Canis lupus familiaris: one gene and its partner. The protein of the gene in region 2 interacts with the protein of the main gene of each other region in a pairwise test. Links are inferred from orthologs where the notes say so. Each region holds a gene or a part of one and is shown on either strand. Other genes may lie near its edges. The genes, in order: ANKRD1 and MYPN.

The links.
Region 1: the proteins of MYPN (region 2) and ANKRD1 interact in a two-hybrid assay, tested with the Homo sapiens proteins (2 studies listed by BioGRID). The link is inferred for Canis lupus familiaris from reciprocal best matches to the Homo sapiens genes MYPN and ANKRD1.

What each region holds. Positions count from the first base shown.
Region 1 is NC_049249.1:5,750,287-5,754,002, reverse strand, and holds the end of ANKRD1 (ankyrin repeat domain-containing protein 1), read left to right. Parts: intron 1-2,179; coding exon 2,180-2,290; 3' UTR 2,291-3,044; downstream 3,045-3,716. UniProt on the Homo sapiens protein: May play an important role in endothelial cell activation. May act as a nuclear transcription factor that negatively regulates the expression of cardiac genes. Induction seems to be correlated with apoptotic cell death in hepatoma cells.
Region 2 is NC_049225.1:20,158,235-20,162,060, reverse strand, and holds part of MYPN (myopalladin), read right to left. Parts: intron 2,056-3,826; coding exon 1,459-2,055; intron 1,101-1,458; coding exon 962-1,100; intron 1-961. UniProt on the Homo sapiens protein: Component of the sarcomere that tethers together nebulin (skeletal muscle) and nebulette (cardiac muscle) to alpha-actinin, at the Z lines.

The DNA of each region.
Region 1 (3,716 bases), on a different chromosome or scaffold from region 2:
TGGGGTAGTCAGAAATAAAGAAAGACACCATCCCTGAAGTAATAAAATTCCACAGTGGTCAATACAGCCAAGAGCCAATGAACTGAAATTAATCAATATCTAATCCAGTAATTCTGAGTAGTCCTCCCCTCCTTACAACAGCATAACATGCTACCACTTTCTTCCAGGGCCAGCCATGCTTTTGCCTATATTTTTGAGATAATTTCTATCCATTCTCCACACTGGTTTATCTGCATATCCCTCAAAATAATTCCCTATATTTAGGCCCTGAAAATGCTCGTATAAGTCCCTTCTACAAGTACGTGTTAATTTAGCTTCATCTGCAAGCCAGGGAATAGAGCCAACTTTTCCTCATGGTCCCAATTCCCAGGCAAACATCATCTAATGTAAGCTTTAAAAATATCACTGGGAGGAATGGATATAAATTCCTGAAGAAATAATTTGAAAGATTTGGTAGAGAATCACTTTACAAGGAAGGAAAAGAAAACCCCAGTCATCTTATATTGAGAATAATTTCTTCCCCTTATTGCGTTACTATGAGACTTAGAGGAATATTTTATCATAAAAAGCCCCACAAAACTGTCTTGGTGATAGGAACAAAGAATAGAAGCAATAAATAGAGGCTGCTTGGATGGTAAAGTGTTAATAGTAGGGTCCTCTCATCCTTAATATAGGGATTGGCCTTATCTAATAATTGAAATAAATAAGCAGAAAAAGAGTAGATTTAATGAAATCTCTGAAACTGCAGAAAATATTAAAATTGTTTTCAGGCAGTGAGACACTACCAGCAAAGAGAAATAGCATACAGATTTGGGGAGACTGTATAAGTAGCCAGAAATCAGGAGATACATTTTAATAGAGAGGAGTTGAAGGAATTATGGAAGAACAGATAAAAATATACCAATGAGGCTGGGGGCTTTGAATATCAGTTAAACCCCAGCATTAGGGTCCTGAAACATTGACCTAATGGCTGGATGTTCCCCAAAAGACCACTAGCCATTGAACCTCATCTTGAAGGGAATCGGAAACAAACACACAATACATTATTCTATTGTTGTCCAAAATTCTGTCATTATGTGTAGTGATGAGTGTTTCTCGAGGAACATGCTGTAGAGGTGGGAAGTTCCAAAACAAAGGTTACAGGGCCACTAATTCAAATAAGCAATAAGTGCAGGGGTCAGGCAGGTCACCTGAATTACATAAATGGTGGCTGCAGGGATCTGTGCACATGATTATAAAGGTGGTGGCTCTGCGAAGCCACAGGTATCAGGCTGGCCAACTCTTCTGATTTTTTCCAGAGAGTTCACAAATTCACTTGGGAAATCTCCTAATTTCCAACTATTGACAATTAATTCCAACTTAAAAAAAAAAAATCTCACCTCTGTTTGGGCCCAAACAAAACAGGTCTCTAAACTGATTTGCATCTCAAAGCTGCCAGTTTGCAGTTTGAGTTAAAGAGACTTCTAAACGGATAGGGGTAGAAAAATATAAGACTTCTCATATTTAAAGACAAGAATTGAGAGGTGGCATCGGATTAATTTTTGTACATGTCTTGAGACCTATGCATAAGGGAAAAGAATTTTGGTCTCAAAAATTACTTTACACATTATTGATGTCACCTCCAAGAAACATGAAATTTCCCAGGAGATCCCAGTGTGAAAACGCCACACCTTGGAGCAGTAAGAGTTCTGTACGGCACCGGAGGACTTCAGCCAAGGTGTCAAAGCAGCTCTTTTACTATCAGTTTTTATCAATCAGGAATCATTTTCCAAATTGATAGGAACTGGTTCTTGTTCACTATCTTCCCATGCCCCTTCTGCAGGATACCGGAGATGTATAGAGGCATTTTTTGAATTTTGAAATGAGTTGGCATGCTCTTGCAATTTACCGTCTAGGGACTGGGATTTTTTTAAACCAATACCTGGAGTAGTCCCACAGAGGGGAAAAAACACACAAAAAACAAAAATATTGCTAATCTGAAATGCCAAACACATTCCTGTGAGAAAGAGTGAAGGGCTGATTTGAATATAAACTGCCAATCAGTCATAGTGGAAAGCATAAAACGGTTCAATAACATACACCTATCCATTACCTCATTAAAAACACGCCCACAGAGGATGTGTAGAATTTATAGATGCCTCCCATCTGGAAGTCAAATTTCCTCATGTATTTTGATTAGGCTGGGAAGACCCCAATGGATCTGGTGCTACACTGGCAGAATGGAACCAAAGCAATATTTGACAGCCTCAAGGAGAACTCCTACAAAACCTCTCGCATAGCCTCGTTCTGAGGGAAACAATGCCAAGCTCATCAGTTGTTCTTCACCAGCATTTTGAAGACACAACCCCAAAGAAGAGTAACTAGTCATAAAATCCAGCTCCTACCCACCTGTTGTAAAGCTGCACCTAATGAAGTTTTAAGAAAGCACAGGGATATAGGTATGGAAATTTTCCTTAGCGAAACTCACTCTATTTATTTTTATTTATTCCTGTTTATTTATTTATTTATTTGCTTCCATACCACTGGTATTCAGATCCTTCATGATGATCCATTTGGTGAGCTTAATTTGTACATAACACTCCAGAAACTTCCTGTAGATCATTCTTAAACCATGTTAACGAGCAATGCTGTCAATGCCTACTCATGTGCACCTCGCTCATGGAAGATATTTCAAGGTGTTTTTAAAGGACAAGAGTGATTATTGCAGCCCTCTTCTGAATTTTTAACGCTGAAGTTTGAGGCAACAGGGGGCATGTAGCGACAGGAAAGGAAACTGCAGAATGAAAGGCATTCTGTGAGAAGGACAGTAAAGCCAGCTGTTTGACGCCTGGGCCTGGTATCTTTTACCAAGTCACACATTGTACCAAGGTGAAGAGAATGTCATGAGTGTAAGTGGCGTGTTGTGGCAGGTGCGGGCCACTGGGCCATGCAGAAGTGAATTTGCTGGAAAATGATGAAAGTGACTGCAAAGTGTAAATGTGTAAATGTATATTATGTTGTATGTGTATTTTATATTCATAATAAAAGCAAATTATAAACCCCTTTCTAAGTGCTTCTGTAAGTATGGTGGGAAAACCATGTGAAAGACAGCCATTTGGATGGAGTTTTTTGTCTTTCAGTTTTTTCAGATTAGAAATGTCCTATAAAATAGCACCTTTCAGCATTTACTGTGTACACGGACCGCCTGAGGATCTTGCTAAAATGCAGATTCTGATTGCCCCCATTGTGGATGGGGCCTGGGACTCTGCATTTCTGACAAACTTCCAGATGATGCAGAGGTGGTGGTACATCACAACCACACTTGGAGCAGCAAGGCTGTGAAGACCATCAAGATAGGGAGTTCACCTTCTTTTGGCCACAGTGGTGGGGAGAAAGAGACCCCTGGTGGGAAGAGTGATCACTGCAAGCTAAACAAGTGCACCTTAAGGAAGTGCCCATCAGGGCTAATCTGAGGTCTAACAATTACTGTGGACACCCGCTGTCGGTGTCAAAGGATGCCCACGAGAAGATACACCTGGCCAATGATTTGTTGACCTCTGAGGGGAGCCATTTTGTTACCAGGTGCTGGACCAGGTGTTAAGACCTGTGATGAGAAAACTAGCTTGCCCCTGCCCTGCCTTTCCAGAACAGATGAATACTAAAAAAGTAATCCCAGAAATAAATACATAGTAATGATCTGCGGTAAGTACGATGAAGTAGAAAACAGAGTGCCGTGA
Region 2 (3,826 bases):
AACTGAAAAAGATTTTAAGCAGCACATTTTCAAAAGAATCTACTTAGTAAAAATTGCCCAACATACAGCACAGTTGTAAAATACTGTATATCCATGGCTCCACTGGAGGTAAAGGACAGAAACACTAAGGAAAACAGCATATGGTCAGGAAAATCTGGAGCCTTGTTTCCAGGGATTACTTATGCTACAAATTCTACAATATTTGGCATATACTTTTGACTGAAATATTGTGTTATGTTTCAAATTAGATTTTATCAGTTTCCACCTTGGGAAATAAATCAAGAGTTTGGTTATTAAAAAGTAATACATTTTTAAAAATAATCATGTTATGAAATGTAAAAGTAAATAGCTCAAATAACAAAATAGTCTATTTTTTTTTAATTTGATGCTCACTTATGGCTTTTCTTTCTCTCCTTCAGTGTGAACACTCACTAGTGAGCAAAGAGTTGTGTGGGTTGAACCACAGGATATTGACTAATGGCTATTTTACATGATTCAACTGATGTTGAATGTAAAGATTGAAAGGAACTGGTGAATAGACCTCTAGCACCTTAGATTGTAGAAGTCAAATAAAGGACAGCGTGGAACCCTAGAGTTAATTTCAATCTAGATCTTCTCATACATTGAAATATATCAAAGATGTGATGGTGTTTGTCAATACTGAGCTGAGGGTTGCTGGAATGGCCAACAGACTATCTAATCTCTCTTTCCTTAACATATTTCATCCTACATAAAAACATATAAACAGTTACATTGAATTAACTACTGGAGTAATCAAGAACGGTAGATCCATGTAGGTGAGTTTCCTGTATGACCTTTGGTTAATCTATGCTCTATCTTCTAACACTGCAGGGTCAGCCTCACTGAGGTCTGGTGGCCCAACCATCCAAGGACTGAATTAAGTGAAATTGTATTTCTTGTATTGAAATTCCAATAAACCATTTGAGCCCAACAATCTTACCTGCTGGTTTGATCTGACATCACTGAAATTCATTTTTTTCCCCAAGTCTAGAATCACTGCATTCTTAGTTTCACGAATGTAATCATCATTCACTGGTTGGGGAGACTTTGTGTTTTTCTTCATTAGTCCCTGGGATGGCCTGTAAAATAAAGTCACAGCTGACACACCCATGAAAAGCCCTTGCCAGTACCCGAAAGCCTAGGAATCAGGGTGGCTGAAATGGCAGTCAGATACCAGGAGTCATCAGGCACTTAGGCCCCAACGTTGAGCACTGCACAGAGAATCTGTGTTTGTAGAGGGGTTTTCAGTATTTAAGTTATTGAAAATGATTTAAAGTAATCATGCCCTTTGCTCTAAAGTGTTCAAAATCCGTTTAGTGTCTATGAGGGTTATCTAGGAATCCACTCAATGAGAGTCCTGTCCCAGATGAAGCTATTCTAGGCATAGGTCCTTTCTTAAGTGACATCTTTTACTTCAGAGATCTTAATGACACTTACACAGATGGTGCACTTCTGGGCAGCCCCATGGCATTAGTGGGCGGGATGGCAGGGAGAGAAGGCAGGACCGAGCTGAGGAAAGCCACCGGGTTCTGAATCCGGCTGGTAGGAGAGACTGGAGCTGGGGAAACACAGCGAGGCTGAAACTGGTTTCCACTGGAGACAGCAAATGTGAGTGGTGGTTGTGCTGGCTCTATGGGAGCCGGAGGGGGTGGCTCGCTTTGGATGGACGCTCCTCCCAAAGATTTGGTTTGCATGGAGGGGTGAGAAAGTAAGAGGCTCTCTTTGCTCACTGTCCTCTGAATGGTTTGAGGTGTGCCGCTCAGGGTGAACACTGGAGAGCTGGAAGGGGACGCGCTTGCTGCTGCTGCGGTGGCACTTGGAGAAGGGAAGAAATGCTTGGGCCGGGCCAGGCTGAATGTCTGTGCCGGTGGGGCCTTCACCTGCTTGCCGGACGCTGTCACCGCCGGGGAAGCAGTGGAGTTCAAAACGCTCATGTGGAAAGGAAACTCCTTAGGAGATGAAGGAGACGGGTTTTGCAACTGCTGTTGTTCCAGTAAGACTTGGTTGTGAAGCTGTTGCAGCTGACTGGAATCACTGCACACGAGAGTGGGGAGAGAAAGAAGGGAAATCTGTCACCCTTGACCTCACTCATCAGAAAATGTGTAGGGGCACCTGGGTGCCACCTGGCTCAGTGGTTGAGCGTCTACCTTCCACTCAGGGCATGATCCCGGAGTCCTGGGATCGAGTCCTGCATAGGGCTCCCCATAGGGAACCTGCTTCTCCATCTGCCTCTGCCTCTGTCTCTGCCTCTGTGTCTCTCATGAATAAATAAATAAAATCTTAAAAATAAAATGTGTATACAGGCTATTTATAACTTTATGCTGACTCAGAACACACAACCAGAGTTGCCAGGAAGGAGCTCATCAATTCTTTGTGAGCTGTTTCTCCTTTCTAAATCTGTTTGTGAGGAAAAGGGGAAAAGCCCTCATAACGCACAGCTCCAAAAGGCATCGTTTACATTATATTCTTTGTGTTGTGACCCTACAACATGGCAGCCCAATTCTAGAGTGTTTATAAGTTAGGAAAAGAAATTGAAACAATGCTCCTCTGTTGGGAGTGCCTAAAGTTCTGGTAGGAGCAAACTGTATCTCAGCTTTGGGACAGAAGGCAGCGACATAAGTAACTGAGTGTGTTGTATTCTTCATTCTGCTTCAATTTATTTATTTATTTTAAAAAAGAGTTTAAAAAAGAGTTTCACCACTGAGTGGGGAGCCCGACACCAGGCTCAATCCTAGGACCCTGAGATTGAGATTTGAGATCACAATCTGAGCTGAAGGCAGATGCTTAACCAACTAAGCCACCAGGTGCCCCCATTCTGCCTCATTTTAAAGCAAACCTTAATAAAACTGCTGGATGTGTCTTGGTGTTTCTAATCCTCTCTCAACAACAAAGCATTATAGATAAGGTGATCATATGTCCCAATACATCCTCGAGTCTTGGTTTATGCCTGTTTTCCTGGCATAATTATTAATAATGCTCTTTTACTTTAAAAAATATCAGGGTTTGAATGGTAGATTATATGGCCACCCTAGTTAGAAACATTGCCTTACATGTGATGTGATGAGCGCTGGGTGTTACATGTTGGCAAATTGAATTTAAATTTCAAAAAATTTTTAAAAATTAAAAAAGAAAACAAAAGAAAAGAAAAAAGAAAAGGAAAGAAAAGAAAAGAAAAGAAACATTGCCTTAGACTTTAATTGTTCCTAAGGGGAAAGAAGAAAAGCTGGAAGTACTTTTTTCTTTCGTAGGAAGCTGAGTTGCAGAAACATTATATGATTTGCCTACAATCTATTTATCTTAATAAAATGGTTAATTATTTTTTTTAAGATTTGTTTATTTATTTGAGAGAGAAAGAGCAAGCAACCACAGTGGGGAGGGGCAGAAGGAAGAAGGAGAGGGAGAGGAGACTCCACTAAAGAGGGAGCAAGCCCGAGTGGAGGTTGAGCCAAAATCAAGTGTTGGACACTCAACCTAAGTGCCCCTGGTTAATTATTTCTTAAGAAAGAAAATGGAAAATGAAAATCTCTAAAAATCTTATACGCATAAAGTCATCAGGGCTGCTAAACTTTGCTGTTTAGAAGTATTTACCCTCAAATGAATAACAACAGGAAATTCCACAAGGAAGACTGGTGTTTCAAATCTACCACAGCTTTACATTCTTTGGATTGCTGCTGTAACATAGGTGATCTGCTGAACATGAGATCTATTAAAAATGAAAAGTTCAGTATTTTTATAGCATCAGGAAGGTCAACAACACCAGTGATAATAAAGTTGAATCAGGAGGTTCTCCAAACGTTGATTTTTC